3 linked regions of the Lepisosteus oculatus genome follow. The protein of the gene in region 1 interacts with the protein of each later gene in a pairwise test. Links are inferred from orthologs where the notes say so. Each region holds a gene or a part of one and is shown in the gene's direction. Other genes may lie near its edges. The genes, in order: morn4, septin6 and bend3.

What was found.
Region 2: the proteins of morn4 (region 1) and septin6 interact in binary tests that used the Homo sapiens proteins (3 or more experiments, as listed by UniProt). The two-hybrid records come from large-scale screens. The link is inferred for Lepisosteus oculatus from reciprocal best matches to the Homo sapiens genes MORN4 and SEPTIN6.
Region 3: the proteins of morn4 (region 1) and bend3 interact in binary tests that used the Homo sapiens proteins (3 or more experiments, as listed by UniProt). The two-hybrid records come from large-scale screens. The link is inferred for Lepisosteus oculatus from reciprocal best matches to the Homo sapiens genes MORN4 and BEND3.

What each region holds. Positions count from the first base shown.
Region 1 is NC_090699.1:44,156,657-44,167,383, reverse strand, and holds the start of morn4 (MORN repeat-containing protein 4), read left to right. Parts: upstream 1-6,179; 5' UTR 6,180-6,288; intron 6,289-6,516; exon of another isoform or gene 6,517-7,002; intron 7,003-7,916; 5' UTR 7,917-7,928; coding exon 7,929-7,995; intron 7,996-10,727. Other genes in the region: lcor (streptococcal hemagglutinin), read right to left, coding at 2,091-2,187. UniProt on the Homo sapiens protein: Plays a role in promoting axonal degeneration following neuronal injury by toxic insult or trauma.
Region 2 is NC_090703.1:50,240,294-50,251,534, reverse strand, and holds the start of septin6 (septin-6), read left to right. Parts: upstream 1-6,227; 5' UTR 6,228-6,305; coding exon 6,306-6,335; intron 6,336-10,938; coding exon 10,939-11,053; intron 11,054-11,241. Other genes in the region: ankyrin repeat domain-containing protein SOWAHD, read right to left, coding at 818-1,918. UniProt on the Homo sapiens protein: Filament-forming cytoskeletal GTPase. Required for normal organization of the actin cytoskeleton. Involved in cytokinesis. May play a role in HCV RNA replication.
Region 3 is NC_090697.1:34,477,868-34,489,016, forward strand, and holds the start of bend3 (BEN domain-containing protein 3), read left to right. Parts: upstream 1-7,084; 5' UTR 7,085-7,222; intron 7,223-9,412; 5' UTR 9,413-9,415; coding exon 9,416-9,467; intron 9,468-11,149. UniProt on the Homo sapiens protein: Transcriptional repressor which associates with the NoRC (nucleolar remodeling complex) complex and plays a key role in repressing rDNA transcription.

The sequences.
Region 1 (10,727 bases):
AGATCTAGGCTACTTTATAGAGCACAGAGCACATTAGACAGAACTCGGGGACAAAATTAAGAGCTTCTCATATCGGGAAGATGTGTCCATGTAAACATAGCTTTTCAAAACCAGTACCCCTTCGTTCCAGCTGTACCAACACCAGGGTTCAGGAGATGTAAAAAAACATTCCCTTGCTGCTAAATGTAAAAGGCTCATCAATTCTGCTATAAAGCAGGAAGGGAACTTTAAATAAAGACAGGTATGTACTGACAGCATCTGCCCTCTGATACCCCTCTGGCTTGGACAAGGACGCCGCACGCTGAAGTAGGAGATGCAAAAGTGTCGTCTATATCAAGCAAGAAAAAATATCGTGCACTACCAAGACGTACATTAATCCGGTGAAATATGGGCCAGTCCATTTAGAAACTTTCTAGAATAACATTTCATTTTAAACTTCAACCGCTTCTATGGCTCAAAAAAGGCATGCATTCAGTGAATGAACTTTTGACTTGGGAAGACAGCACAAGCTTTCCACCACTAACATGTTTGAGGGGGCAAAAAAATATAGTCACCGGCAATTTCGGATAAGACGCGTCGAGTATAAATCGAGATGCATTCCACAGCAAACAACTGCGATAAGTGGATTGAATTACGAGAAAGTCACACATGCTCAGATGAAACAAAATTCAAAGGAGTACAAAATGTCAATTAAAACCGCTTAAGAACAGAGCTTCTACTGTCTCATCTCGCAAGCAAATTGAAGTGCGTAACTGCAAAATCTGTTTAAAATCTCTCTTATAAACGCAATATTTTCGGCCGCTTAAAAAAAGTTGTCAAACGAACATTTAAGAATTTGTTTTACCACGTATTCTGTCAAACAAAACCCATGTCACGTCTAACGCCTCAGAACAAATACCGGCAAGTGAAAACAAGGCACCGATTTAACTAAGCAGGGAATATCGACTGTACCTACAGAGATAGGTTAGCAGGGAAAATGATTAATGCAGTTTGGACGAAGCGAGCCCTTTGGGATAAGAGATCACCGTGAAGTGAATCCTGATCTCCCAGTAACACCAAATATACCGATTTAAATGGATTAGCATCAAGAAACATTCGAAATGGGGGAGGGTAGCCCGGAGAAGGGCGACATTTCAAATGTGAACATTTGGAAGACAACCGAAATTTGACGTCTGTAAAATTACAGCACTGAACTAAAATATGCATTGCAAAAAAGCTTGTGGAATACTCCACAGATGTAACACATAAAGCCCCTGTGCATCAGAAAATAAGCAAAGGACTTCCAAAGAAATTAAGCAAAATGTTTAAAGAAGATAAAAATAAATATGCTGTATTACATTTAGAATATATATATATAATTGTAACTACTGACCAAGACATTTTCAGCAAGCTACTGCACGTGTCGCGCGAACTTAAAACGTCTAGTGCGCCTGACCTTTAAATATAATTTAACCGACATCTTCCCCGGCTTGCCAAAATATAAAATACAGCAAATTTTTCTGAGCGATTCCCCCCATTGCAGCAATGCGCGCCCCCGGGGCCGACTCGAGGGCAGCCAGGGAGCGCGCGGCACCGACCTCAGCAGCAGAACCCGGGGCTGCCGGGAGCGCGCGCCTCCCCCTCCCCCCACAGAAGAAAACAAGAAAAAACGCAGAGGAGCACGCGCCCGGGAGCCCCGATCTCATTGGCTTAAAGGAAGCAGCGCCGTTCACGTGATACACCCTCCGTAAAATAAACAGGAAAACAAAGCCTGATATATCTTTGTTACCTAGCAATAAAGAGATAGATAATATAACCAGGGAGCAAACGAATTCTGCCTACAGGACGCCCCGTACCGTACGGACACTTCCACTATATAGGCAGTATAACGCATTTCACAGCCAGAATCTGGCGACCGGAACGGAGGGAGGCAGGCTCTCTTGACGGAAGAGCTGCACTAGACAAAAAAAAAAGCCGCTCCGTGCTGCTCCCGACGGTTAGAAACAGAATTTTTTTGCGTTGGGACTACGAGAGAAACAAAGTATATTTTTCCAAACCCCGGAGTCCCGGGCGCCGCGTCCGGTCCTGCATGCAATGTGAAACGAGCTTACCTACACAGTGAATAAGTTTATGCCGCCACGAGTCAAGTTCCTGCCGAAAGCCGCGTCTCTCGAGCGTGCATTGCTGCCTCTTACACAGACTCGCCATTTTCTACCGGCCCCACCCGCCGCCGCGCACGTTTTGCTGGGTGCGTCCCAGCGTGCACGTCATCGCCACGGCCCTTTTTTGTGTGTGTGCTGTGTCTAGGGGTGGAGTTTTCTGCTGCGGCATCTTCTACTCGCCTCCGCCGCCCCCCAAAAAATAAAAGCTTAATATTCTTGATGGATGAAAAGTGACGCGTGATTAAAACTGGAAGGCAGCCCATATTCCCGGCCTTGCACGCGTGCGCGTAATTTAATTAAGGGGATCCCTGTCCCGTCGGAGGAGATTCTGGGACACTGTCAAGGGCAATTACAATGTAGCGGTGCGAGTGTTACTTGAATTTGATGAGACCGCATTGTGGTCATTTTTAATAGATTAATTCCTCAAGCCCGAATTTGGCTTTTAGGAAACTCATGTTATATTTTTATGGCTCTCCATAAATTACTACAATCGTAACTTTAATAAAGTACTACTGTACGAATTTCATTCAACCCATTGCCGCTTACTAAACAGCGCATTTTCAATATAACGGAGCGCTTTAAATCAAAACCCTCTACACTCTATAAACTGTATTAGATGGGAGTTAAAGTGAAAAACTTTCATATATAAGGAATCCTTATATATGAACATCGGATAAAACGGCAGTGCAAAAAGATTAAGTATCCTGATTAATGAAAATGCACCATGGGTACTAAACTTGGCGACGTAAAATCTACACACATATAGAATTGAACTATATTAACATTAACAAAAACTGTGGGTTGAAGACAGTTTCCATGATGTCTTGCTAGAGGTTTATTGGAGGAAAAGGTTCATACACTAAACTGCCTATCAAAATTAATTCATTACTTATTTCTATTTGTTTTTAGACAAACTTAATGTTTTTGCACCATTTTGATTAATAGATCACTCGATCTTGATATGCTAGAGTGACATCTACTGTTGCATGAGCACTGAATCACCTCATTAGTGGGCATTGAACAGGCATAAAGGTGGCTTAACTTGTTGAATGTCAAGTCCAGTGAAACTCAAGAACAGAGATGTCAAAAGGAACTAATATTCTGAATTTAAGAGATTAATGCCTTCATGCCATCAGTATGCTAGAGACTGGACTAAGTCACCTGAGGTGGACTTGACAGGGGTGATACATGTGTAGAACAATGCGCAACCTTTTATTGTCAATGGGCTGATGGTTTGGTTCAAGTGTGATGGTCTGGGTTGGAAACTCCTTTCCCTACAGATCTCCACTTGTAGCAATGGAATGCAACCTGTTCACAGGGAACTTCATGACCTCACTGCCTTCTCTCATGCAGCTGATGTGACAAAGTCCAGCACGATAATATTCTCTTTGTCAAACAACAGCTTCCTTGCAAGACGAGCCACAACAAGGATACCCTAGTCGTTAGACTTGGGACTTATTGAGCAGCTGTGGGATGAGCTGACATGAGGCATCTAGGACTCAGAGATCAGTGAACAGACACCTGCTTGTCCAGACTGTAGGAGAGGAAAGGGACAGAGTCCTATAAGACAGCATCTGTAACCTAGTGTGTCATATGTGCTTTAGATATACACCCTGTATTGCTTCCAGCAGTGTGCACACATGCTACCAGCCTGTGACTTTCACAGTAAACCCATTGATGACAAATATGAATCTTCCACTGCAATGTCTGTTTTAAAACATGTCAGTACAGTTGTTAAAAAAGATTTCCCTGATAATGTAAGATTTGCTTCTTACTATGCCCTTTGCAATATCTACACCTCATTTTGATCCCTGTGCAGCAGTACAGTTGTGCTTCTTGGATCTCAGTTTATTTTGAGATCACCCTTGCTATTATAAGCAAAAACAGCCTGTGAAAAAAACTTTTGATGTTTGTAAACCAAGACCACAGAAAGAACAGGCGATGGACTTTAGAGCATTGAACAACACACATTTATCTCCCTTTCAACCTAACTCAATCTAGTGGTCTAAATGCATATATTTTACTAAAAAACACTATTCGGCTTTGTAATACTTTGTAAGTATTACAAAGGCCACACACTCACAGCCCACTCAGTATTGATGGAACGGAAGTGGAAACAGTCACCAGCTTTAGGTTTTTGGGAATTCACATCTCTAAAGATCTAACCTGGACTGTGAACACTGACTCTATCATGAAGAAGGCTCAGCAGCGCCTTTATTTCTTGAGGCGCCTCAAGCGATGGGGGATGCCAATACATGTGTTGGTGAACTTCTACCGCTGCACTATCGAGAGCGTCCTCACCAACGGGATCACCGTGTGGTATGGCAACACCTCTTCGCGAGAAAGAAAGGCACTGCAGAGAATGGTCAATATGGCCCAGAAGATCATCGGCTGCGGTCTCACCGAGATTAAACAGCTCTATGAGGACCGCTGCCGTGGTAGAATTCTGGCCATCACAGAGGACAGTCACCACCCTGGGCATGAGCTCTTCACCCCACTGCCCTCAGGCAAGAGATATAAGAGCATACGGACACTTACCACTAGATTCTTCAATAGCTTCTATCCACAAGCAGTGAGACTGGCGAACACATTTAGCCATCCCCCTCGGACCACACCCATCACCATCTACCTCATTGTAATTTATTTATTGTACGTCTCCAGTCATTGTTTACACGTCTGTATTGTTTACATTCAAACTGCCTGCATGTTTACTTGCACATTGTCTATTGTTTGTTTGTACATTGTCTTGATGCACTGTTTGCACTTGTTTTGTTTTTTTACACTTGTTTTACAATCGAGAGACTTTCTGTAAGTAAGAATTCCATTGTACCAGTACCGGTTACATATGGCAATAAAGTTCAAGTTCAAGTTCAAGTTTAAGTAAGACCCATTCAGCACATTAAGTCATGAAGTAAATGATAAGTGAAATGTACAAGGAAATTCAGTATATCTATTTGGTGTTTCATTTTAAATTTATATTAAAATAAAAATCAGACAGCATGTGCAGGAGTGGTTAGGGATCCAGGCTCATAACTGCAAGGTTCTGATTTCAGATTCCAGGTAGGGCACTGCATTTGCATTGAAAATCTCTTCCAGGCACAGGTAACTCCCAGCTATCTAATACAGTACAGTATGTCACTCTTTGCTATGCATCCAAGTAGCGCGTTTGCCTTTGACCGCTTCTGTGCTTTGCCTACTGTAAATACCAAAGCTACAATTCTGCAATCTTCTCCTTGCGGATTTACTACGTCTGTGCGACCCACAGTATAATTCTCCCATACTTTACCGTTTGCTTTACTTTATGGCTGTATGCAACCCTTCACACGTCCATATATCATTCGAAGATCTGAAGTAGTTCAAGTGATAAAAGCTTGGGTGCTACCGCGGTTGTAATGTAGGTGCATCTTGATGAGATAGAAGACATTTATTGTATTCACTCCTGCGGAAGCAGAGAGGCGGTGAGTCCTGACCTTTGTGGAGCAGCTAGATTACAAACTAACTACATCTGTAAGGCAGAAGAAATCGGGGTATGCAGAAATCGAAAGTACTCATTTCGTCACTAAAAAAAAGACATCTGTAGATGAAAATACATCCGACTCTGTGCTAAATTCATACAGCATACTGAATGAATTTAGTTAATTTAATATATATATATACCTGAAACGTTTTCAGAGAACCTTGCAAAACTGCCATACGCCAACTGAATGTTTAGCGGTTGCTTAACCTGAATGAAAATAAAGAAATATCTAATCACTAGATAGATATATAAAGTTTCACAACGTAATTAAAAACGAATCCCATAATTAATGCCTCTGCGCAAAAGCCACGACCAAACATATCCCTATTAATTAAATCCACAGGCACGGCTGTGTGATGCCCCTAACAAAAATGTCAGCTATCAGACCTCAGAAGGAAACAATCCAGCCAATCAGGATTCGCTTTAAATGCAAAGTAACGCAAAACGGACAATGGGACAGTGAGACTTTAGGAAGAGCGTGAAGCCTCGCCGCTAGAGGGGGCGGGGTCAGGAGAGCCTAATTTTCGTCACAGGGTGTACTGTATAGCAGTTATATTGCACCATTGCCTGAATTGTAAATATAAAATTGGTGGATTTATGTGCTTCTGAAGTCCCAAGATCATAAAACAGGTAAATAATTTGTTTATCTTATCACGCAGTAACGACGGTCAGTTGGATCATCTTGCAGCTGTGTGTTTAAATTTGCTGAAGTAGTTTATTAGTACTGTTACTGTAAGTGATATGCCGGCGACACGTAGGGAAATGACTTTGTTGCGTTACTGTGGTAACATTTCAAGGGATATACAACAAAAACGTGCACTGAATGCCAGGAGTAACCATTTCGTATACGGAGGTTATTAAGTCTGGAGCTGTCAGTATCTTTTAACCAACAATAATAGCACTATAGACGAAAGAACAGCTATTCACCTGCTTAAATAATTTATTCCATTATGCCTACATTGCTTCGGCTTTACATCACTCGATTTCTCTATTCATTTGACTGAGCTGTGCTTCTCATGCAAAATGGGGTGCAGTATAATTTGCGCTCGATTTAATGGTGAAATCAACATGAACAGTCCCGAGTCACGGTTTAAAGTTGAAATAAGAAGGCATCGCATCCTTCATGACCGAGACTAGTTTATTCTTATTGCTCTTATTTTAATCTGTAACGTTCCTTAACAAGAACGCAATTGCAGCAGCGCAGCTCCGCTACCCACAGAAGCGCTCTGGGAGTTGTTTCACAGACCTGATCTTTGACCGCTTGGAAGACTTCAGAGACAAAGCAGCCGTCAGGAAGCAGCATCAGAGTCATCGGAGGAAAACCTGTTCCTATGTTCTTCTCTGGTCTGTAACAGCAAAAGATTAATGGTACCCAATACAGTACCAGCGTGAAAATATGTTTGTTTTCCTCTCACACAGAGTTTGTTTTAAGGCACTGATGTGTATATGGATGAGACAGTGGTACCGGTTTGTGACAGACATTAAGGTACTGACAATTGTGATTCTCTGAGGCTGGTACTGTATGTTTAATCTTCTGGCCCCTCAGGGAGTTAAAATTATTCCTTCCTAGAGTTCTCCCTGCATGGTCCTTAGTACTTTTGTCACCATCTTAGTGAAACTGTACTGGTTTCAAACAGTGCCACAATGACTCCCACTTCTCCCTCCTCAAGCAGCACAAATGTAGCGCAGACATGGTGTGGTGGTGGAGCAGTTTCATAGAGCTGTTGCCACCAGTGCTTTGAGTTCCTGTGTCCATTCTCTCAGGGGGCAGCCTTTTTAGACAGCAGCGTGGACTTGTGATTAGGGCTCCGGACTCCAGACTGGAGTGCTGCAGGTTTTGAACCCAAACAGGACACTGGTGTTATTCACTTGAATGAGGTGAATTGATCACATTGCTCGTGCAAGAGCCCCACTGCGTAAATGGATCACCGGCTCCTTATTATAGACGAGAGCGTCTCTTTTTTTTTACTTCTTTGGTTGAATAAAGGATTAAGGACTATCTCTTTTGATTTCTGCATGTGCAATTCCTAATATGCGTGTTAAAGAAAAAAACAAATGTGCAAAGTGATCTTTATTTTTAACATTCGTGCCCCCCCCTCCCCCACTAATGCCAGTGGCAGGACCTGTGAAAATATGATGTGTGGCCACTCAGAATTGAGAGCTCTGCTTCTAGTCTTTGAGGGGGTGAGCTGTTCTTTCTCTGGTCGTCGTGTCTCTGAGACTCAACCTCTTCTGCTGGCTGCTGTGTGCCCCCACAGGCAGTCTGCGACATGACCCTGACCAGAGGATCCTTCACCTACTCCAGCGGAGAGGAATATCACGGCGAGTGGAAAGAAGGCAGGTGGCTTTAAATGTTTTAGAAAGGCGGTCTAGGATGGGTGATGTCTTCGTCCTCCGTTTGAGGACAGAGGCTCCCGGGTCTGAACTGCAATTACTTCGCTTGGCCCATCCCTATGCTTTATCCATTCAGCCATTTTCGAACTGCTAAATCCAATCCAGGGTTTAGCCTGACCCCGCAAGACAGGCAGAGGACATCCTGCACCGCATGACAAATCGGCACAAGGCAGACACAGACACACACGCACACCAAGGTCAATTTCCACCCACCATTATGTCTTTGAACCACGGGAGGTAACCCATGGGGGAAAAAAAAACTCAAGAAGAACATGCAAACTCCACACAGATAGCAACATTATTAGAATTAGAAACCGGGGCTCTTGTGCTGGACTCTCTGTCATTCACACAGAGAAGAATAATTGGGTTCATTTGTGGTTGGCATGAAACCGAGCGTGGTCAAAACTGCTTAAAGAACATGTTCCTGAAGTTGAACGTAACTGCAGATCTTAGAGATTGCTAAGTAAAATGTGCTTTTTTTCTGTCAGATGGAAAACATTGCCCAAAAGCTTAAATAACGTACCCTAACAGAGCCTTCAAAGATAACAGCCTCTTGTTGGAAGCAGATACTTACATAACTCACAGTTTAAATCAGTCCTTACAATCATCTTTCTTCTAGCTTCAGTCAAGCTCCATCAGTCACTGTGCCTTCTCACCAGTCAAGGGTAATCTGCCCTTTATTCATAACAGAATAGGAACAGGCGCTCTGAGGCAGCCTTTACTTGTGTGTTTGTAAAAGCATCGTGTTTCCATTAGAACAAAGCTGGGGAGAAGTAAGTGCTTCATGTCATGAGTTTCTTTGTAACAGACAACACCTAACAAAGAGCACGTGCTCTTAAATGTTAGAAAATGCAGGCGACATGGAATTTGAATTTCCTGGCTGTCCAATGCAGCGTATGTTCTGATCTTTCCCAGATTTGTGCATGCTGCAGTGTTAGCTGTGGGTAGCAACTTAGTATTGTCTGTACTTAGTGTTCTTGCTTTCAAGGACAGGGACTGACAACAAAAGCTCCTTGAAATAAGCTAAATCCTAATTAGCTGGTAAACCTTGACGTCACACAACATGACTAACCTGATGTCACTGTGCAAGGGTTTCTGCAGGGACTGGAAAGGTTTCCAGAATCACTTCAGTCAGATTCTTCTGTGTAAAATGGTGTTATGACAGAAGATATAACTAATAAAAATAAAGTTACTTCTAAGAACACTTAATATTCACAAAATAATTTGATCTGGTTAAAATGTAGTAGATATAAGCTGCATTTTAACATTGGCCTCGGGATTAGTTCTTTAATATGAAATGCCCTTTTGATATTATTACATACTTGTTGTTTCTGGTGTTTATATTTTTAGTAGTATTAGGGATACATAGTTTGCTGTCAGTGTATGCATGTTGGAATCTATAGAGAGCAGCTAAGGACTTTAAGAAATCAGCCAGTTTCAAGATTTCAAGATTTCTTTATTTGCCATATACAAGTGTATTGGAATGCTTACTCATTCAGCTGTACCCAGTAACATTAGAGAAAGGGAAAAAAAATCACAAATGACGAACAGACATGGACAATAAATTCAGACAATAGACATTAAAATACAGCCAAGACAGGACATAGTGCAAAAAGTGCAGTACCTCACCTTGCTGGGATCAGGAAGATTGCCGCAAAGCTGAGCTGGTGTCCTGGATTGTATTGAAAACAGGCCCTTACATTCCTGACATTCCTTTCAGGAGCTGATTTTTGAGCTAAACAAAATCCCTTCTAAAGAGGTTTCAGATCAGGGAAAGGGTTACAATCCTAAATACTAACAGATGGTAAACCTAATTTAGCTAGGAGAGAATTTTTTTTTTACCATCAAGCCCCTCTCGCACAATGCTGTGTACAGGGATGTCTCTGTGTCAGCTTATCCTGTCAATCCATGTTACCTCTTACCTGAACACATACCTTTCAATCCACCATTGCTGGGATTCCCAGTCCTGGCCTCCGGGTTTTCGATCCAGCTGAGCTCCTTCCTTCATTGAACTAACGGGGGACTAGATTTGGAGCCCTGTAAATGTTTTTCTTTTTTCCCGTAGAGTTAGAGATGTTTAGTTCTGTACAAAAAGCAATAGGTACTGTAAATGGTAACCTCCAACATGTTTAAGAGTTGAGTTAAGAGAAGAGCTCATATTAATCCTATTTTTAGACCAGTTATGTTCAGTTATGTAACAGCAGGACTGGGTGCCCCCCCACCGTTAGAAAACTTGGTGAAAATGATGAGATTTGATTTGAGCAGGTGATTTTTTTTCCTGTTCATGACATTTGTAAGCGTTATAGAAAGGAAATGGCATCACTATAATTGCTTCTGACAAATGTGTGGAATAGGCTATATGATTTAAATGGAAAATTTGAAAACTAAAAGAAAATAACTGGGATGTACTTCCAGAATGGAAATATACAGGTACAGTTGAATGTTTCCTATCACAGTGTTTTTCTTGCTAAGTGGCAACATTTCCAGGTGCTGAAATATGATCAAAATATGAAGTTCCATTTTCTATGGATGGATGAAGTGTCAACCACCTGTCAGGTGGAAAGAGTTATCTGACTCAATTAGTAGATCTGCCAATGCGTCTGTTTCCAGGGTGCCAAATGTGTCACCCATGCAGCACAACCACAACGCAAAACATGAGCAGTGACAGTGGCAGT
Region 2 (11,241 bases), on another chromosome or scaffold:
CAAAACTGCACAACTCAAAGCAGCTGGGTGGTTTGGATTTGAATATTTCCTGTTCCCCTTTCATACCGACAGAGTGCAGCGCGTGCAGTGGGAAGTCGAGATACATAAAACAATCCGAAAAGTTTCTGCTCCTTCGTTTTTTTTTCTGCTGAGAACTATGTATGAATATTTCTTTACAAATTAATTTTGGCTTATCTGAAAGAATTCTTATGTTTATTTAGATAAACAAACGAACTAGTCTTAACTAGGATACAATTGTTCTGAGCCAGCTACTCAATTGAAAATAGTTTTCTGAGAGGAAAAACTCGCAGTTTGCCCTGGCTGTCTCTAAAATAGAGACAGTACCGTGAAATCACTTTCTTTAAAATACGTTCCACACCTGGGGTTCAGAAATATTAAAGGGTTTTATATACAAAAGTATATTTGGTGTTACAGTAAAGTGCACCAGGTTATCCAAAAAATGAGAGACAAATACTGACAGAGCAAAAAAAAAAATCCCGGTCTGATTAATGATCAACGCATTCAGGAAGCAGCCATGTGCTTATTGATCCCTTCACACGAAACACTGCGATCGGAACATTCCGAACGGATGATCGACTGTCCTCGCCGTTTCTCTAACGCGCCGACCAGCGTTGCAGCGTCCAGGAACACAACCTCTCTTTTATCCGATGTGGCGCTGGGCCGGCGCGCAGATCCCATTGGAAAAGCTTCAGACGCACCTGGAGGACTGGTTCGGTCACGGACATGAAAACCAGGCTTCAAGCACAACTCAAAAGCCCCTTCTCGTCCTGTTCACGCGGGTGGGGCCCCCCCGCGCTCATTGCGCCGTTCCCAGCGGTTCCCTGCTGCTTCTGCTGACAAACGACAGCAGGGGGCTCAGCATCCTCTTGAACGACGCGAACCCGCCGAGCTGGCCCTTCCGGCCCGGGGCCTCCGGCTCCGCCCGGCTCAGTGCGTCGGCGCTGTTGTTGTTCGTGTTCAGGGGCCCAAGAGCCCAGCCCTGCTCGTCCATGGCCCCCAGCAGCTCCCTCATCTCCGCGGGCGCGTCCCCCCTCAGGTACTGCCAGGCTCTCCGGCCGCCGTGGTCCATGGCGTCCACGCTGGCGCTGTAGGCGCCCACCAGGATCTTGACCACCATGTGCCGCCCGTGCATGGCAGCCACGTGGAGCGGGGTGAGCCCCCCGCTGGCTCTCACGTCAATGTTCACCGGCAGCCCCCGGCTTTCCGCGTACCTCATCACCTTTATCAGCGTCTCGTCTTTGCCGTGCTTGGCGAGCCAGTGCATGACCGTGAACCCGGAGACAAAATCCTTTCTGGTCAGCAGGCTCGGGTCCTCCGAGAGGAACTCCACGATGGTGTCGTAATTCCCGTCCACGACCGACAGCATCCAGGCGTGCTCCACCGGATCCAGGGCCCAGAATGTCCTGGTCAGGTTGCCGTCCTCGGTGCTGGGCTGGGCGGCCTCATCCCCGCAGTCCCCGGCAGCGCTGGAGCTCTGCGACGAGACCAGTATGCTGCCCAGGCCGTTGTGCAGACCGTTGTGCAGGAACAGCTCCTTTAAGTATTTCTTCCTCATGGCCGGGGTGAGGGACGCGCACGGGGCGCCGTCGGTCTCGCTCACCTCCGGCTGCCTCTGCAGCTTCGCCCTGCGCGCGGAGGCGTACCCGCAGGCTCTCGCGCTCAGCCGGGGCGCGCGCTCCTCCCGGCTCCCGGTGCCTCCGGCCGCCCGCCAGGCGGCTCTGGGAATCGGGGGGCCCCCGTCGCTGGCACCCGCGGCTGCGCATCTAGACCCTTCCTCCCCCCCCTCCTCCTCTTCCTCCTGCACCGGCGGCGAAGCTGCGGCTGCCTGATACGCATCTAAATGAGCGCCCGGGCTGACCGTCCCTGGCGGTTCGGAGACGCCGGCGCTGTCGCCCATTGCTGAGGAATTTCTCCTCCTCTTCCTCGATCAAGTGCTCTTCTGACGGATAAGAGGGTTTTAAATTCCAGACATCGAAGTTCTCATCCCCGGCGCGAGTATTTGCCCGGGCCCCTTAGGGAAATGAACAACAGTGAGAAAAGCAGTTCCCAGGGCAGCTTTCTGAAATTATTTTTCCTGTTGTACTCGTCCTGAACCCAGACTCCAAACAAAGTGAAACCGACGAGAGAGCAAATTTCGCGGTGGCTGTTGCATTCGTCAATGTGCGCTAGTCCATAACACCTATCTATAGATTGATATTAGACTCACCTGGTGTGCTGTGATCGTCCCACTGCCCTCTCCGAATGTGTGATCTTAAAAGACACAGAGAGCGCCACCCATTTAACTGTTCCTCTTTCTCGGGTATCTCGTGTTTCCGCTGCTGGTCTTAAGATAAACTACCAAATTTGCGAGAGGAAAAACAAAGCACAAGAAGAGTTCGTTGCGCTCCGTGGGCTTGAGACGTGTGATGTTTAAAGGCGCTACGCCCTTACCCAAACCCACGGAAATGCATTGAGGTTTCTGGTTTGTGCCTCAGTAAAAACCGATTTGTCTGCACGACCCTTTTCCTTGCTGACATATGGGGTAAAACTACGCACCTATTCGGTTTTCATTCCGCAGGTTACTGAGCGGTTCTTATATTCTTTAAAGTAGTTCAACGTCTGTAACAATGTACCTTTCCTCGTCACCTGTGCGCGTTTATCTCCTTGGAAGATCTTTACGCAAACCCGCAGTTCGGTTGCCCGGGCGGTATTCTCCCAGCTTTTATCGCTGAAAATCCTCAAATGCCAGATCCTTCAAGGAAATAGCCTGGTTTAAGACTCTCCATTCCGCGGAAGCTTAGAATACTCTCAAACCGAAATCGCTTCTCCTCTTTCAAGAAGGTCAGGTCTCACCCCTCCTTCTCCGCCCCCCCCCCGCTTTCACCCCACCGCTGCTAACAAAGTTCAGATTTAATCCTGCGCCACTACTGAACCAGCAGTATGCAAGCCGCGACACACGTCTATCAGTATTCCCCCGCCACGATCACTTTTAATATGTTACTCATGAAGAAAGATAAAGTATACTTTGTTTTCGATAGGTATGGATACCTCTAGCAGTCCTAAGGGAGCAGAGAGTCCGCACACCACAAATCTGCCCTGAACAGTGAAGCTTTTCGAAGCGAAAGTAAAGAGAACAGCACGTCGTAGCTCTGTTTATACTCGACAGTCAGTTTGTTTACGTAATATTCTGCAACAAGATTACAAGCAACTGGGCAATACGGGCATACTGGAAACCTACGTAATATTGCAGAATAAATAATTCCTCTTGGAGTGTCTGTGAACGCATTCTCTTGCTGCAGTGTTTCAGAAGTTGCACCTCGAGACCAATCGTGTTTAAATCGCATGGAAGTTTCTAAAACGATGCAATTAGCGTCATAGCTAATCTTCATAGCTGTCTTCAGTGTGCTAAACCTGTAAAAGATCTTTCCCAAGTCTTGCCAAGCCTGAGGAAGCCGAATTCCTTTTAAACCACAGGGAAAGGCAGTGACGTTGCTTTTCTCCTTTTAACCCCCGTCGGGGTAATCTCAGGATCATTGTCCCGCCAGGAAAATAATGGTAATTATGCTGGGGGAGCGTTTTTTTTCAGTGCCTTTGACTGGGGCGGCCCGGAAATATTTTAATTGAAATGAGATCGAGGTAAAGAGGAGGCGTTCGTAAGCCATGGCCATTCGCCTGTCGACGCTATGGCTAAATTTTTTTGTCTTTGCCACGGACTCTGGGGCACCTTCAGGATTGCACGCGTGAGTGCGGCTTTCATTGCACCTCTTTGGCTTTCTGGGTGTGAGCCCGGAGTGAGTACTTCACTCCCGGGTTCCCTGCCAGCACGGGGGTGGGCGGTTTGTCCCGGAAAGCGCCCCGGGAACAATTATCCGCAGTTCTGTGTTACCGGTGAAACAAGCACTCAGGCCCCACAGCACGGCTGTGTCACTATAAGTCGCAGTAGCTCCTGCAATAGGCGGTGCTGCGGCCGTGTGAGCAAGAAACGGCACAGCGCGGTTCGGTGTCACTTTTCACTGCTGTGTGCTGCGTGTCTTCTCTGAGGGGGTTATTATCAAGACTGGGAGAGCGGGTTCCTACACATTTGTCGACACCAAGACCTGGCATCAGATTTCAAAGATATCCTCCAACTTTTCCTAGTTCACTTATTCTTGTTAACAGGTGAAATCGTTAAAAAAAAATGGGGGGAAAAAGTAGTTTTTTAGGACTACGTTTGCGCTTTTCCTAAATACTATGTCTTTACTAAAATGATAAATCGCTAAGGAACACAGGAAAGTACAAAAATAGACCCGTAAATGTCTTGTGTAAATATTTGAAAATACTGCACACCCTGTTGTTCATATACACACTCTTCTTGTCTCCTGTATGAAGGTGCCGCCGGCCAATGAGGTTGAGTTACCAAGTGCAAGTCAGAGGCAGGAAAGGTTTGATCGCGCAAACTGAAAACGCGACACGGAACTAGGCAGGTGGGCGAGGTGGGCTGCGCCGTCTCGACGTGCGCCCGAAGTCCACAGCAGATCTCGGCGTGTTCACTTTGCTCGAATCTCTAACTGCGGGACGGTACGGTCAATTGTTCGGATAGGAGGGCGTTTCCCAATTAGGGGGTACGTAAATAGGCAGGATTCTCTAGCGTGGATCAAAACACGAGAAACCCCTCCGGCGCTTCCTTCTCTAGTCCACTGATAAGCTTCCTGAGAACTTGAGAATGATCGCATTTCCTGCTGATTTACACTCTTGAGTCTTGGCATCTCGCAGACGTCAGCTTCCCAGGTCCTGTCTGTATCTGCCCCCCTAGTCGCGTGCTGAATAGAGCTCATCCACAGGCGGAGGCGGTGATGTCAGACACCTGGTTTGTTTCTCTTAATCCTGGTTTATCCATATATCGGCAAGACGTGTTCATGATTCGCACACACGCGCTGTTTATTGAGCTAGAACATAAAGAAACGCTATAACACAAGAGCATAACAAGACAGTGGAGGTCATTCGGGTCACACTACTGCAGCAGCCGTTGGGGTTTTACTAGATAATGTATCCGAGGGCCTCATCCAGCCTTTCCTTGAAAGGAGCTCCAGTCTCCCACACCCCTTCTGGTAAAGCAACGTTTTCTTCAGCAAGTCGAGGATGAAGATGTTGGAAATAACACGATTCAACAGGGGGTATTTCTCAAATTTAAAACTGTGCAGAACACAAAACGTCCAGACCAGCAGGCAGGGGTCAACGGTGTCTGTTATGGACGCCAGCCTTACTGGTGATGAAGAGCCCAGGAGGCACAGCGGCGGCAGCAGACACGGGCGTCCCCCGGTCCAGGACTGGCAACCGCTGCAACAGAGAAGGATTTGGACGGCACGCACGTCAGAACCTCGGGCAGAAGCCAGAACCCGCCCCGGTGCTGCTGGAGTCGTTCTTAATTGATTGCAGAGAGCGAAACGGAGTTTGGTGGGATTTCTGATATGTTCTCTAATGATTAACGTACATATTAAAATACACATATGACGGAAAATAGAACAACAACGGAAGGTTCCTATCCCCAGCAACAGTTCGCTTTCCCTAGGCCCAGAAGACCGTTTCCTGCTCTTCCAGCAGAGGTGCCCCTCAGGCGAGGCGGTCTGGGACGGTCCTGCGACGCACGCGTGTTGTCTGCGCAATACTGTATTCTAGGTCAGGCGGAGGGGTCCGGCGGCGTAGGAATAAATGGCCAAAAACTCATTATCCACAACATGCTCCAAACAAATACAGAGAAACTATTTAATACAGAGAAACTTCATGGGAACAGGAACTCCTGAATTTGTACACACGTTTCTCCGCTGGTGTAAAGGTCTGTTAGAACGCCCGTTGTGCTGTGTTATTTACATACGCGAACAAATGATGTCAAAAACCCTAATGGCAGCCGAGCTCCCGAACAGTTACACGCAAGGCGGTGTGCATGAGGCAAGGCAGCGCTAACACGCACTTTTCTTTCACCCGCCTGGGACGCAAAGGCGTGAATTTTTAAACTTCAGGGCCTGTTCCCCACCTCATCACAGCAGAACGAACCATTTGGGGGGGGAATTGGAAGGGGGGGGACGCAGGGAAGACAGCGGATTAAAATCTCACCGATGAAAAGGGGATGATCAAAGATCGCTTTTTTTCTTTGCGTGTTGGACGTTGGCGGGAGGAGGGGCCATGTTCCGGCCGGGGCGTGCGGCGGGGCCGGGGCGGCCGGTGTGACGGGGGCGGCGCGGCCCCCGCTGTGGCACCGCCCTTGGGCCGCCCCGCGCTCGCGGCTCCGCGCTGCTTCCTGTTCGGCGACACTGCGAGACGCTGCAGCCATGGCGGCCACGGAGATCGCTCGGCAAGCGGTGAGTGTCTCTAGCCCCGGGGCTCCAGCGCTGCTGTCTGCCCGGGGAGGCAGAGCCGGTCCGAAACCCACCGTCTGCACGCCCTGCACGGCCGGGGTGCGAGGTTACCGGTCGCGGGCTGTAGCGCCAGACACCGTCAGCCCCTCATTTATTCTCCAGTGTAGCGAGTCACGGAAAGGGAAACGTTATATTTTTTCTTCCAGTAGAGGCTGGTAAAAAAAAAACAACAACAACTCCTCGCATCTTAATCCCGGTGAATGATATGTCTGTCGTGTGTTTTTAGTGATGGGTTTGAACGGGTTTTGGTTTTATTCTTAATCGATAAACCATGCGATTGTTTGTTTTTTTTTTTCATGTGGATAAGATCAGCCGCTATATAAAACCGGTATCTTCCTATCGGCTCGGCGAATATTTCAGGTGTGTTATAATGCGCGTTTCGTTTTCGTTGCACACGTCCGTGGATGTACACACAGACGAAAAATTAGAACAGTCTTGTCCGACATCGGTGTGGGACGATCATGCCCGATTCCGCTATTGAACGGTCCTGCGGCCGCCTGTCTCATTGGCTGGCTGGGCGTAGTCTTATCTGCCGTACTGTAATTCAATTAACTCAAGCGGATTAAAGCTAAGCGACCAAAAAAAAAACAACCCAACAACAACAACAACGACGGATGCGTCGGTGGGTTTCGTGCTTTTTTTAGTTGTGGAAAGGTGTGCGGGAGAGTTTCCCGGCGATGGCCGGAGAAGAAGGCAACACTGTTGCAGATGAGCGAAGGGGCCGGATACAGTAAATTGACTCTGGAGCGCCTGGTTCGCAGGGCTCGCCAGCTGCACGCCAGCTCGGAAACACTGAGCGGAGGAAACGACACTCGTTTTTGCGCCGTGCGTTCAGATTTAAAGATATTTTTTCCCCCCCGTGTCTTCACTTTATGTAGGACCCCAAGGCCGGTTTATTTAGATTGCTGAGGCCCAGGTGTCAGTGCAGATGGGCACCCACAGATCAGGACTATACAGGACTCGCCCGGGCTGCCCGGGTGGTTTCCGCAGCAGGCCTTGGTGACCTGGGGGTGCTGTTGAGTTTAAACACATGGCCTCCCACTGCCAGGGCCGTTTGTGTGTGAGGAAGCTCTTCTCCCCTGATGGCATGTCTGAGACCGGCCTGTTGGAGTTGGCGTAGTCACGCTTGCTTGCCACCTCTGTAAAAGTGGCGGAGTAGTGAAGATGTTCTTTCATGTTCGATTTGACGAGCCACAGTAAAACTCCACCTGAAACAAACAAAAAAACTTTGTTGATGTATTTTGGGAACCTTAAAGGTTTGAATAGTTTTTTTTACTGAATTCTTAATCATGTATGCCTTTGAATGGTTTTACTTGATTGTATCCCATTATAATTCCTGATTGTCTGCTCAGAGGGGTTTGTGTCTGGTTCCATAGATTTGTGTCTACAATAACTATCTTTATTTTAATTTGCTTTGCATTTGCTGTAGTCATCTTTTGATCAAATTGCGAATATAAGACATCAGTGCCCAGTTTTAAACGGTGTATAGTAGTGTCATATGTGCTGATCATGATGTTTCACAACCGTTTTAAATCCCTTCTTTTTTGATTAACATTGAACCACACAAGAAATGTTTTACAATGCTGTTTGCTGGACTGTTGACTGATTAGTCAGTTCAGTTTTCTGCTTTGCATGATCTATAGCCTTAAATACTGTTGCTTTACTGCTGACAGTCTTTCAATCAAAATCTTGTTGTTTTTGAATGGCAATGCTGTCTAGTAAGACTAATAATAATAATAATAATAATAATAATAATTGTTTACACTTATATAGCGCTTTTCTGGACACTCCCCTCAAAGCGCTTTACAGGTAATGGGGATCCCCTCCACCACCACCAGTGTGCAGCACAACATTTCTTGTGATGACACATAAACAATAACTTTATTCCTTAAAAGTTACAATTCAGCCTGTTGTTATTGATACTCGAAGACCTTTCAGTGCTGTCTGAGACAGAAGAATAAATTGGACACAGAAATGTTCTGTTACCCGTGTCCACTCAGGGTTTTTTTCTTCAGTGGGTATCTAGGCCCCCTGGTTGGGGGAGTGCAGGTTAGCACAGAATAGCTGGTGACTGAAGTGTCGTGCCTGTCTGTGCCTCCCCACTCCTGAGTGGCAGAGGGAGCTGTCCTGGGTGATCAGGAGGCCGAGTTTGAACTGTGTGCCCTCGGTGGGTGTGTGAGACAGACTGGTTTCCCAGGGGTCTTGAGTACTGAGTATTGGGACTGGCGTCTGCATGGAAAGAGAGCAGTAGTTGTGCTCACTGCTGGCTCTAGTACTGTATTGACACACACTGGAGTGTGCGAAACGTTCTAGCCGTCTCGACTGAGGGTCAGGCCCTGCAGTCTCCCGCTGTGATTGAGGTGTTAAGGAAGATTCTTTTTTGTGAGCATATCTGATAGATGGGATATCTTTTACACTTTGGCAATTAGAGACTTGTACCATGGCATCTTAAACGCAGCGTTGAATGAAAGCCCAGTACTCGCCAAAGCTGTTGTAACAGGCATGGCCCTCTGTTCAAGTCTTGCTAACCTTCGAGGTGTCTGTGCTTGTTGTGGATTCCCGCTTGCAGGTGCGAGCAGTCGAGCGTGCCGCGCTCTCCCCTCTGTTTGTGTGTCCAGCTGGAGACGCGGGACAGGAGAACGCTCGGTCCCAGCCCCGCTCGGCTTTCGGGACCCTGTAATGGCGTCTGCTCTGTCCGCCCGTCCTGGGGGGCCTGTGTCCTGCGGGTCCTCTCGTGGAACGTTTTCTGCGGAAGATGAAGTAGCCGTGAACATTCAGGACTTTCCGGATATGTAAATTGCGGTTTGGCAGGCTGCCTCAGCAGCTCGAATTCTCAACGAGGTTAACAGACAGGAAACAGGAAGTGAGCAGCAGACAACAGCCAGGCTGCCACTGGAGCACCTTGTACGGTATGAGACGGCAGCACCGATGGAGGCTGCGAGCTTGAGGCGGGGGGGGGTGACCAGAAGCTGCGGTGCAACGGGCCTTCCTGCCCCATCCCTGCGCTCAAGCAGGCGGTCGGCGTGCTCTTGCGCATGTCACTCCGCCAGGAGTTTCACGCCTGGGACTGGCCCTGATAGATCTCTCATCCACCCCGAGCGAAAATCAGCACCTCGGCTGCACGAAAAACAAGCCAAAGGACTCAGCCTGGACGTGTATGTGCAGTTGATGTTCCAGTGTGTTTCTGGGAAAGCTCTTCGCCTCGGGCCCTGTGTGGGGGTGTGCTTTGATGAGCTGGGGCTACTTCCTGAGAGACCTGTCCTGGAACGGCACTCCTCCCGTCACAGTCCAAGTTTCCAGTGTTGCAGAGAGCTTCAGTGAAACACGCTTCACCGCCTGAAAATGTTCCTTGAGTTTTTACCAACCAGGCACGCGCAGTTTATAGCGCATGCTCGTTCTGTTCGTGAGCATTAAGAAGCTGGTCCAGGTTATTGCAGAGGTCTAGACTCTTAGTTTGTAGAAAGCTGATTGAAAGAATATATTGAACAACAAGATGCAAATGTGACAGTTATGCTGTGACGTGTTCAACCTGAGGCTCATTGAACATTTGTGGGATCCGTTGTGATGATGTGAGACATCTGTGTGAGCAGTGAACACATGCTTGTCCAGACTGCATGAGAGGAATGGGCCAGAGGAATCACAGGTACACAGCTTGCATTGGTGCCAGCAGACGTCACATACTCCTCGTCTGTGAGTCTCACAGCAGACGGTTAACCAGCCTAGCTGATGAGAAGTGTTCACCTGGATGTTGAATTTACGTTATGTCATGGCATTTCAAACACATGACAGTGTTCCTGCTACAAAAAAGATCAATTTGTGCTTTGAGCAGCCACCTTTAAAGGAGCTACTGTATATAAAAAGTTTATTTTTATTTTCCTGATAAATTTGTGAATTTGTGAAGTTATGAGAGATAGGGTGTCTTTTGTTGCCTAAGAATAAAGGGAACAGACAGATCTTATTGCTGTACTGGTGTGATTTTTAAAGGTTTGCAGCGAACTGTGATCCAGCTAACGTCCATCTGACCAGCGTTAGTGCTGAGATTCGTGACTGCATCATGACACTAGCTGACTGCTGTTGGCTGAGCACTTCTGAGGTTTGGGTTGGATTGCTCTCTTGGTGCTCTGTGACACAGCGCCCCCTGTGGCCCCCCAGGTGCTTGCATTCGTGCAGGGCAATCAGTGAGGGGCTCCTCTTACCACCTGTGAGGTGGTGGAAGCCGTGTGGCTCTCAGGCGAGCGAGTCAGAGCCCACACTTCCTCATTTTCTTCCCCAGTGTGCGGTCGCAGGTTTCACACCCGTGAATCGAGATTTGAAAAGCACGTCTCTTCCAAATTAAGTCTGAAAAATAACCGGTGATTCTATATTTGATTAAGTATATATTGCTAATGAAATTCTGTATGCTTTCTCACTTTCATGTAAAAATGTTCATGTTAAGAAATGAAGTTGTCAAATTCTGTTTTCATTCCCTGATTTTGTAATGAGGGGTGCCTAAGTTGAGCTGCATTTGCAGCGTCCTGTCTGAGCTAACTGTGTGTGTTTCCTTCAGGGAGAAGGTGCACGGTCCATCCCCCTGTCCGGCCATGTGGGCTTTGACAGCATGCCTGACCAGCTGGTCAACAAGTCCGTCAATCATGGCTTCTGCTTCAACATCCTCTGCGTGGGTGAGTCCGACTCTGTACCAGTGTCATTCTTGTGAAGGGCTTAAACCAGGTAAACCCAGGACTGTTTCCATTGTGTGGCCATTCATTTTCCACACAGCCGAGGTCACAGGCTACTTGCCTGTCAGTCCCACAGTAGATGGTTGTCCAGCCTGTTAAAGCTGTTTCTGAAGATGACGCAGTTCCTTTTA
Region 3 (11,149 bases), on another chromosome or scaffold:
TACACTTGAGATATAGGTTTTTCTTATTCCTTGTGGTTTTCCTTCTTTGTTCAGCTTGTTATGGAGTGGTAAGCAAATTTTATGAGGATCAGAAGAAACCACTCTGAGCATGTGCGCTTGTCAAAAAATAATACATCATCTGTCCATTGATTAAAAGTTTTGGGTGTCTGTTTGGATCAATTGATCATTCCTGAATGACAGTGACGTGTACAAGTTACTTTGTTACATAAACACTAAATGACCTTGCTAAATACCTGACTGGCCTTGACCTCACCGAGGCTGTTGGGGCGATCCAACTGTGATGGACCATCCAGGAGTGCCGAGTAGTTATTGATGACAACCTGACTGCACGGCTCATTATTGATCAAGTCCTGGGACCTCACCTGCTGCCCTTCCTGCGGGCTCCCCCTGACGTGACAGGTTCCAGCAGGACAATGCACGTCCTCGTGCTGTTCACCTTTTCGTGAGAGATGCGAACGTGATGTTCATCAGACTTGAGCCATGTGGAACACCTTTGGGATGATCTGAGACAACAACATGGGCATCTAAGCCTCAGAGATCAGCGCATAGGCACGTACGTGTGAACAAGTAAGGGAAAATTTACCACTGAGAAATAGAAAACAGAAACACAGTGTTTCAGCCTTGTGACACCTGAAGAAAGCTCTACACCCACAATGTTGTGTTTCTCCTTTCCATTTTTCAGCGTGGAATTAACCCCTTACTTGTTCTGTAAGGAGGCGATATGGAGAAATGCCACAAGCATCTATAAATGTGTCGCAATCTAGATTATATAGTATATTTGTATTAAATGTAATTAATATGCGTTTAATCATTGAGTCGGATGACAAGCATTTGAACATGGAGCTTCATCAGTGTAATTTCCGTCTCCCTGTACCTGGCGTGTTTCATGCCTCATCAGTTGAAGTATCTGGATGCTGCTACCTCTGCTGGCACTGAAACAGACCATTAACTGAGTAATGGTTCTGCTACTCTTAACCCCCATTAAAATGAGTTGCTGCTCTTTTTAAAGTACTTATGTATCTTGCTAGTTACTTGTAAAAATCCAATTCGCTTTGTTTGATTTCCACTAAAAATAAAGTCATATCCAAGGAACTTAGCGCCGTACGCGGAAAAAGTTCTGTTGCTTTTGATCAGATTGTTTATCATTGTAAATCATGGGGTGACACTTTTGTATGCTGATAAACTCTTATTTACCTTTTTGTTATTTCGAATCCACGGTGTGATGGAAGATTCTCCTCCTAATTCCATTGCTAATAATTATTTGCTGGCTTTCTAATGAATTGGTACTTTTCTGCTTAGAGATTCTCAAATGTACCTAGCAGAGCTACTGCAGTTGATGCACCTCTATCTCGTGCTGCATTTGATCTCAATGAGTGCCGAATAATTAGATAGAAATGGCTGTGTGCACTTCACAGGCTTGCCGGTGAAGTTCGCCTGTGGTGAATCACTTGAAAAAAAGTATTGGCACCCTGTTGGGTTTGCCCCCAGTAGTCAATGGCTAATTGAAGTTGGTCTTATATACTGTTGCGTAGAAGGGAAAAACGTTCAGTAATGCTGAGAAGATCAAAGACAACCACAGAAGCAGAACCAAATGCCTGCTAAACTTCACAGGAGGTTCATACAGTATGTGTTAAAATCCATTCCAACCATCACAGCAAAATCACCAGGAAATAAGCAGCTACAGATTTTACAGCCGAATCACTGCTGGATAAAGACATATTTCCCTGGTCCTTCTTTCCATGGTCAGGATGTCTAGTGGGCCGTGCTGATGCCGAAAGGATTGTCATTGACCTGCTTCCTAGAGGGGAGTGTGTAGGTGCAGCCAGGCCATTAATGCTGTGAAATGTGCTGTAATATTAGTGTAAATATATTTAGTGTGTAAATATTATTTCTATCAAAGGTGTTGCACAAATCTTCTAAAGCATGTGATATTAAATGCATCTACTGCTTCATATTTATTCCTTCATAGATCCATGTATAATGCTGTTTGAAAATCATTCTGCACGACAACACATCAGAACACATTTTCATCACAGCAAAACAAATTGCTGTGCTAATGCTTCATACCAAGTGACTGCTGACAGTTCTGTATTTCTGTTGTATTAGTGAACCCATTAAATAAACTTGATTTTAGAATATTTCCCGTATTTGATTTCCACAGGATATTTGTGTGTATCTCCTACTACAAATTATTTATTTTGCCTGTATTCCAAATGTTCTCAGTTTAAATTTATATTCTTGCTCTGCTAGCATGAACTGTGACTTCTCTGTCCACCAGATGGAGACATTTGCCTACCACTTTATGTGATATAGTTGCTGCTGACTTCGGTTCTCTGAACCATTTATCTACCCACTGAGATATTCATCAGTTCACATCTGCTCCCGTGCAATCTCAAACACAGAGCTACGAGTGGGTTTCCTCCGGTAAATGCCTCTGTTTAATTTAATTTATCTTTACCCCTTATGAATAGACAAACTTTTATTATTCCTGAAGTCTTAAAAAGGACAAATACAGGATTTATACCATAATGGATCCAACTGTGCTTGCTCTTCAAATTATAACCACTAAGTTTCTCATGAAGGTGCCACTTAAACTTGCATTAGCTTTTTCACAAACTTTTGTGCACTGCAGGGAGCAGTGAGAGGAAACGAAGGTCTAATCATGTTTTGAAACCTCTGTGATTTTGCTGATGCACCATTTTTCTCCACTTGGCAAAGAAGGGGGAGCACTATAAAAGCAACATAAATGTTAACATGTACAGAGAGAAGTGTAGAATTTAAATCAATGGGAGTTACGATCTATTAGTAAGACCTAATTTAGAATTTTGTGTACAGTTGTGGCATCTTTATTTCAAAACATACATTGCCTCCCTTGAATCAGTACAGATAAGAATGACTAATTATACCATATAATTTGACTTAATATATATATTAAACTAATTGGCTAAAGGTATTGAATCTTTTTTTTTGTCTTGTACAGAGAAGACTACAAGAGGACTCAATTGCTCAGATTCCTTGAAGGCACTGAGGAAGTTAGTCAGTGGATTTCTTCAGGACATGTGACTCTAGGCTGAAGAGGAATGAAGACTGAGAACAGAAGGAATGTCTGCATGCAGAGGGTTGTGGGAGTTTGGTACCTGATACCCAGTATGTCACTGAAGCTGATTCCCTGGCACCTTTCAGGAAACAGAGGGATAAGATCCTCAGATCAGCTACTAGCAGCTAAGCAAATATCCTAAATGCTCTGAATTGCTGCCTCTCATTCGTAATCTTCCTTGTGTTTTTATGTACTTAGCATTAGGGATCAGATTTCAATATATTATCCTTATGGTCTTCTCAATCCTCCCTGAAGCAGGTCAACCTTCTTACTAGTCACACCACTGCCTTTTGAAAACACGTTCACAAGGAATAACAACTTCCAAAAATCAGATACTATGTAAGTGTTTTCTGAGTAACAGTTAGTTTTGGCCTAACCTGCTTGGTCATAGGTCAAGGAGGCTGTGACCCTCATGCTATGTACAGTAAGGGGGAGCTGCAAAGGTGGAGATGGGGTATAGGAGGGATGCATGAGACAAAGTGCAAAAAGAGATGTTTGGGTTAGATAGATATACTGTACAGTTAATGTTGGGAATCATTATGGTTTAGAACAGCTGGGTGAGACTGATTTGTTGTCATTATCCCAAACTTTAGCTAAAGTCAACATTAGGATTCTCTACAGAAAACCAATGGGTGAGATTTCTTTCTGGGAAAAGCTTAGCAAATCATACAAAATGTATAAACTGAAGGAAGGCTGTTTATCACATTATTGTAGCTATTTCCTGTGGCAATTCATTAAAGTCAGGATTCAGTTCAGATTTACAAAAATCTATAATAAGCTTGATTGTTCTTCATTTAGGAAGAAAAACACCAATTTATATACTACGAGAAAGTGACAGCTTCTCACTACCATATAACATAACATATACAAATACATGACCTGAAAATTTTTCTTACATGACACTTACAGTAGGTATTGACTGACTTGGCTGGGTAGCGCCAGGGAGAACCATTTGTCATAGGATTCCTGCCAATTCCTTAGCCATGTGCGGAGCGGTGGCACTTTGGCTAAGGATCTGTGCCTGTGGCTGGAAGGTTGCTGGTTCAACTCCCACAGGCGGCAGAGGAATCCTGCTCTGTTGGGTCCTTGAGCAAGGCCCTTAACCCCAACTGCTCCAGGGGCACCGTAAAAATGGCTGACCCAGTGCTCTGACCACAAGCTTCTCTCTCCCTGTCTGTGTATCTCATGGAGAGCAAGACGGGGTATGCAAATAGTCAAATTCCTCATGCAAGGAATTATATATGGCCAATAAAGTGATCTTATAATTCAGCGTGCAGCCTAAAACAGACTGACACCTAGCAAAGCAACCCAAGTGGATGCTGGGGATGATGGACTCTGAAAATCCCTTTGAGTATGAGAAACGATTAAACCACTACTGTCTCTCCTTGCTGAGGCCGTTACAAGAAAATGGGATTGAAGAAAAAGGATGTGTTTATCTGAGGTTGAAATCATAGTGTGATTTAGACGTATGATTAAAGGGACAAATGGATGACAGACACTTAGGCATTACTATACTATGGTGCTCTCTTGCTTTATTCCTAACATAGGAATACAAAAATGCAGATGTGTAGTTGTGTGGGAGAGAGGAGTGGGAGAATGGTGAATTAAATAAATTGGGAACACGAAAACAGAAGAGGAAATTCTAACAATGAAGGGACCTACCATGAAGTGCCTTCATGAGCTCATTCCAGTATGTCAATATATTTTTACAAAGCCCAGCCTTCTCAATACAAATTGCTTTTGTAATATTGACATAACTGTCTGACAGAAATCTACCACTATGGTATTATCTTATTTATATTATATAATACATATGGAAAATAAACCAACCAACAAATCAAACTAATGTGCTTTACCACAATGTTGTGAGCTATCTAATTATTTGTGATTGTTTATTTGATTTTAATGTGCCTATGTTTTTCTGATCATAGTCTGTTACAGTGCATCTATAACTAACTAATTTTCATATCTTTTTAACTTACAATGCTCTTCAAAACTAATTGGACTACTTTAACACTTTGAATTTTAAAATTTGAAGTTATTGTGACCCCAATCTAAAGGTTTATTGAAATCATTGGGATGAATGTGAAGTATGCTTTTGTTCTAATATTACTAAATGTTTATATGAAATTACCCAAAAGTAAAATGGATACTATCTTGTACATATTATTCACATTAATATCATTATTAAAAGTACAAATGTATTGACTGTAAGACAAAAATAAGTTTTGACTTTGCTTCTGCAATACTTTTGGAGGGCACTGCAGCATAGTTGAACAAGACAAACTGAGCTAAAAAAAGACCAAGATAAATGCAACATATCTCCAAAAATTGGGTCTTGTCTATGGCGTGGGATTCATTCTCCACTTCAAGGAACTAGGTTTTCCGGTGGAGAAAAAAAACAACCGAGAAACTGTACAGCAGTCACAAAGTATCTTGCTCTGAAATAAAACAAGCACTGTTCCATATTTACTGTATGAATAAGAAATTGTAACACCAGGCCAAAATTCAAATAAGACCACTAATGTTATTCATAACTAATAAGAAAATGCATGTTTATGCTACATAATTAATATTGCAAGCATCATTTGATTCATCAGGTTTGAGTTACTGTTCATGATCAAATTCAATTGACTTACTGTAGATACCATCAGTCTATCATTCTCTTTGTATGCCAGAATGGCAGAATGTTGAATGGAAGACTATGACAGGCAGAGCAGCTCAAATTACACTGTGCTGTGTGGAGGGAGACTGGCCTGCCTGGAATCCCCACTTTGACTTGGTTCCGAAAAGAAAGAAAAATGGCAGGGTCTTGTTTTGTGCACTACAGCCATTATCACCTCTCAGCTGTTAACTCATGTTGATCTGGTCACGTTCTGTGGCTAACTCTTTTTATTTAACAAATATGTACACCCACAGGCAATACACTATCGCCAAATCACAGTTTTGCTTTGATATGCATATTTCAGTCAGCTGTGTCTAAAATTCAAATAAGGTTTCTTTTATTTGTGCGTTTGATAACAAGGATATGGTATACTAAAATATTCAATATACAGGAGTAATACAGTATAGGCTGAAGAATCCATTCTGAAGATCTAGGATTTAAATACAGACTGACACTTATAACCTATACTAAGATATTACCTTGGTATGTTAAAAACCTGAAAAGATCACCTACTGTAGTGCATAAACAAACACACACAATCTCGGGTTATGTTATGAAGAGGAACCTACATTGTCACATGGAGTCTAGATTTTCCTTTTCCGCAGCCACAATGTAGACTAATTACTTTTACTTTTAGTTGTTATTCCATATACAAGTCTCGATGTGCAAGCCATTCTAGTTCTATAATTTAACTATAGTATTTGGATGATATATTTTAAACAAGACGACTCAAAAAGAAAGATGTGCGTGGATAATAAGAAAAATACAAAACCCCAGCGTCTTAAGACGCCCGTAAATGATTTTAGAGTAATTTTCAGCTTGACAAGAGAGGTAAGACATTTCCCGCTAAATCAGTTCCGTGTCAAGAAAGGCAGAACACCTGTTGTAAAAAAGTCGTTCCAAATAGTTGAAATATACATCTTATCTTTCCAAACGCGTAAGCACTGTCAAAATGACAGGGATTTCCCCCAAGTGATGTCTTCCTCTCTGCAAACACAGCTGAACGCACGCTGCATGATGCTCAGACATGAAGTGATGGCAAATATCAATTTTTGAGTCAGATTATCTCATGAATGAAAACAACTTCTGCATCAACTATTCAGAGAAATGTGAAAAATACATATTTGGCGTGTCACTATATCGAAACGATATGCAACAAAACCAAAAAAGAACAAAAATGTACATTTTTTACTCAGCATCCTTATTCTTTCCCACACGCAAACGTGACCAGAACTTTGGCTTGCCCACAGTAACCCACAGCTGTGCGGAAATGACACAGCAGGCGAGTGCCGTCACGTCACTCGAGAGGGCACAGACAAGAAAAACACGGCGGACAGTAACACGGACGACACTCAGGCGTGTAAAAAATATACCGTGATGCGAGGAATCGGACATGCTCGCCGAATTTATTAGTTTGCAGGCTACGCCAGTGTTCGAAGGTGAGTTCGGAACTACTCAATGCTTTAGCGCTGTGCAATAAATCAAAGAGGGGAAAAAACTCGCCCGTAGATCTTTTTCCTGCCGCGTCACGCAAAGAGAATTCCATTATTAAAACAGAACCCAACAACAAAAAAAGACCAAGTGGGCGTGGGGTGGGCTTCTGCACTGTCGTTTTGGGTACGGATCGTGCTCTGGAACATCTGTATCCCAAGTTTTATGTCGTAGAAAATATGAAAAAAGTGCGATGAGAGGATATCCCTCTCGGGTTGTTGCGGTTCGTGGGTTGCTAGTGGAAGAATGAGGAAGTGGAGTGGTCTGGAGTCTGGCGAGTTTCATCTGTGTGCGTGTGAGTGGAGTCACAGCGCCTCCACGGCTCTGCTGAGGAGATCCGCTTACTGCAGCGCCAGTACAGAATAGAACGTACTGGTGCTGCAAAGGGTCATGTTTCAGTTGGGGAGCCCTTCATAACATTTAAATAAGAGTAACTAGAGGAAAAAGGTCACATTTATGACCGATTTCTGGGTTTAGGGGATCTGTGCATAATATATCGCAAATCTTAACTTGAAGAACATGTTATAAATATCCTTTTTTGTTCGTGTTTAAGCAGCCGACATCATGTTTTGATATGCTTAAAATGTCAAAAAATATTTTAAATTCAAAACAGAAGCACAAGCACATGACTTAAGCTTACAGTTACCAAACTGTATAATGAACATTAGCAAAAAGCTCGTTAAACACTCCTGTACTAAAAACATACGTTGCAATTAACTATATTTGTTAGGTCAAAGAATTATAATACCGTGCTTACGAGGATAACGGTATTTTTCCTACTGTAATAAATTACCTTGTAAAACACGTTCATACAATCAACTCCAACAATATAATTATCAAATTCTATGCCAGCTGAGTTGTCAAACTTTGAGCTGTGAAAGTAGGCTTTGCAGACAAATGTGAACCGGTTTATTTCTGTAATGGGCAAGAACTGTTGTATTGTATCCTTTTGTTACTATTAACAGGTGCGATATTTTTGTTATGATTCCATAGGCTCATTGCGTGCCAAATTACCCGCAGTCCACAAAAAAACAGCTGAAAATTTTAATGCTGCTTATTTTTGTGTTTTTAAAGACAGAGGTCACGTACGAAATAAACCCAAATATTGAAATTCACCATGATGAAGACTTACATTGAGATGCACCATTTTGTGTTGGCAGTTTAGGGGGAGTTAGTCATAATTGAAATAAATTCTCATTCTGGAACATATAAAAATTATGTTTAAGAATGACAGTAGTCCAAGTGTAACCGACATTCTGTTTGCAAATCTGCTTTTGACATATTTGTGTTTTCTTGGATTATATTGTGCAGTACTACGAAATACTTTGAGTTCAGGGAGAGAGAAATCATAAAATGTGTATAAATAAAGAAATCTTTAAAACTAAAACCATGTGCTGTGTGTAACCCGTGATTGAAGAGAATTGGCTTAGGGTTACAGAACTATTGTAGTATCTCTTAGGTCTTTGTTGTTACCATCTTCAAAAATTGAGTCCAGTAAAGATCTGCCACGGGCATTTGTGGGCATATTCTGAAGGCCTTAACAGAGAAAGTTAAATATGAAAGAAATTTGAAATTTCTGGCATTTCTACTGCGGAATAAATAAGCACATAACATAACTCAAGAAACTGAAGGTTTATTCCATGCTGTAAAGAAAAGAGACACAATATTTCGGCTGTGAAGCCTTCTTCAGGTGACACCTGAAGAAGACACAACAATGTTCCCTTCAGCATGGAATAAACCTTTACCTGTGCCTCACTATTTTTATAGATTCATCTATAAGGCCATGGTATCATAGATATTGTTTTAGATCCTCAGAACCACACCAAAATGAAATGCATATGATTAACACACAAAATAGGCTCAGCTAGTTCTCACCATTGAATGTTATTTTTCGGCCTAAGTTCATACATAAATACAACATGAAAGTGGAATTTAGGATTCTAGCCTGCATAACACCAGTACTGTTATGTCATAAGTGAGAAGTACATGAATGTGGTTTTACAAAAGGCCTGAAACCTTGATCACATTGGTGATGATGATTAAGATGAAAGGGACTACAGTACGTAGTTCAATGTCAGTAAAGTTCTGTAGGCGAACTGTGATTCAGTGTTGTGCGTTTGTGGTTGATGTCATTTTAGGTCATGAACTGTTCTGAGCATGGGGAGACGTCAGATGGTGAGGCATCAGAGACAGGTAAGCATGTTCATCATCTGACCCTGTCGCGTGACAAGACTGAAGGCCTGTGTGCTGTAGGTGTTTCAGTGCTACCAATAGAAACAATGCAAATAATCTACAATACAAGGACCGGCTACTGCATAAGGATTCATCATTCAAACCACAGCTTGTGGGGATACACATCCTTGTTTGTCAAGAGATTTGACGAAAAGCATGGGTAGGATTTAAATTAAATCCTTGGGGATAGATCCTCATTATAATAAAAAAAACTTTTGAAATCCGTCCATTATCAGAAGGCCACTCCTTGAAGCCAAGGGTGTGTGCAAGGTAACACCCCGCACAGGATTCCAGTTCATCTTAGGGTACTCGGACTCAGAGAGGCGGATAATGCCGGCGTCACACTACATGACTTTTCTTAGGATTTCCAGTCGTAGCCTTCATTTACAGAATTCTAAGAAAATCACAGCGAGTTGTAGAGTTGCAGTACGCACCCGTTACCATCAGTTGTGTAGTGCGACACCCCCAGCAACTCAGTCATAGCACTTAACAGCCCCTAAGACTCTGCGTATGATAAGTTGATGTTACGATGTTACATTTTTTCAAGATCTTTACGTGCTTGTCCTCCGTGTTGTTTGTGCGGTGCCCCTCCTCTTATTCCGGTGTGCTCCACATTGTTTGGCTGCCAAAATGAGGCGACCTCGCGGTAATTTTGTGGCACAATACGAGATTTGGAACCGTGACAAAAAGTTGCAAGGGAATCTTGGAATTAGTCACAACCCGCGATTCCTGGTCGGATAATTTGACTCCCTCTAGGATAGAAAAGGCAGCGAGATTCAGCAACTGCAGTCGTGAAATTTGACATGCTCTCCGACTAGAAGTCGTGTCGAGTCATGTAGTGTGACGCCGGCTTCAGAGACACCAGTTAATTATCCCCCATGTCTGGCCAGTGGGAGGAAACTGGCACTTACTCAGTGCAGCCACTCACAAACATGGGAGAAGATGCCAACTCCACACCGAAGGTGCTCCGGTTTGGAATCGAACCCAGGACCCTAGAGCTGTGAGGCTAACCACCATGCAGCCCCCTGTTTAAATCATTTCAATGAAACTGGGATCTCCTCTGTCCAGGCTCTGACTTGCACCCTCATACTGTACCTTAAAATCTTTAGCTGCAGTGCTTTCATAAATTTTAAACTTCATTTAAAAGACTTAAATCTTTGCATAACTGCTTGTAGGAACAGTATTTTTAATCTGACATTTCGGATGAATTTGTTCACTTCAAGTTTGCCGGTTATTTTGTGGAATTATTTGAGTAGTTTGAAAATAATGATGATGTTATGCTTTGAGTGTTGCATGTAACATTACTGTTTGCAAGACTCTTATATTAATATGCCAGACCAATAATTGGTTTTGCACCAAATGACCTAAGTGTGTTATTGTCTAAACCAGTGGTTCTCAAACTGTGGTACACCTACCTGCAGTGGTACGTGGAGTGCCGCCAGGTGGTACGCCACATGACCCTGGAACTGTGTTGTGTGCGCTGAAAAATCGGGACGGGTTTTCATATTTTCTATTTTAAGATGTATCGAATACGCAGCCTACGTACTACGATACAGCGCGCGCTAATACTTGAGTGGACAGAGCAATGTAACGTAATTCTATACCACTCTATAGGAATGCATGCTATGAACGTAAGTGACCAA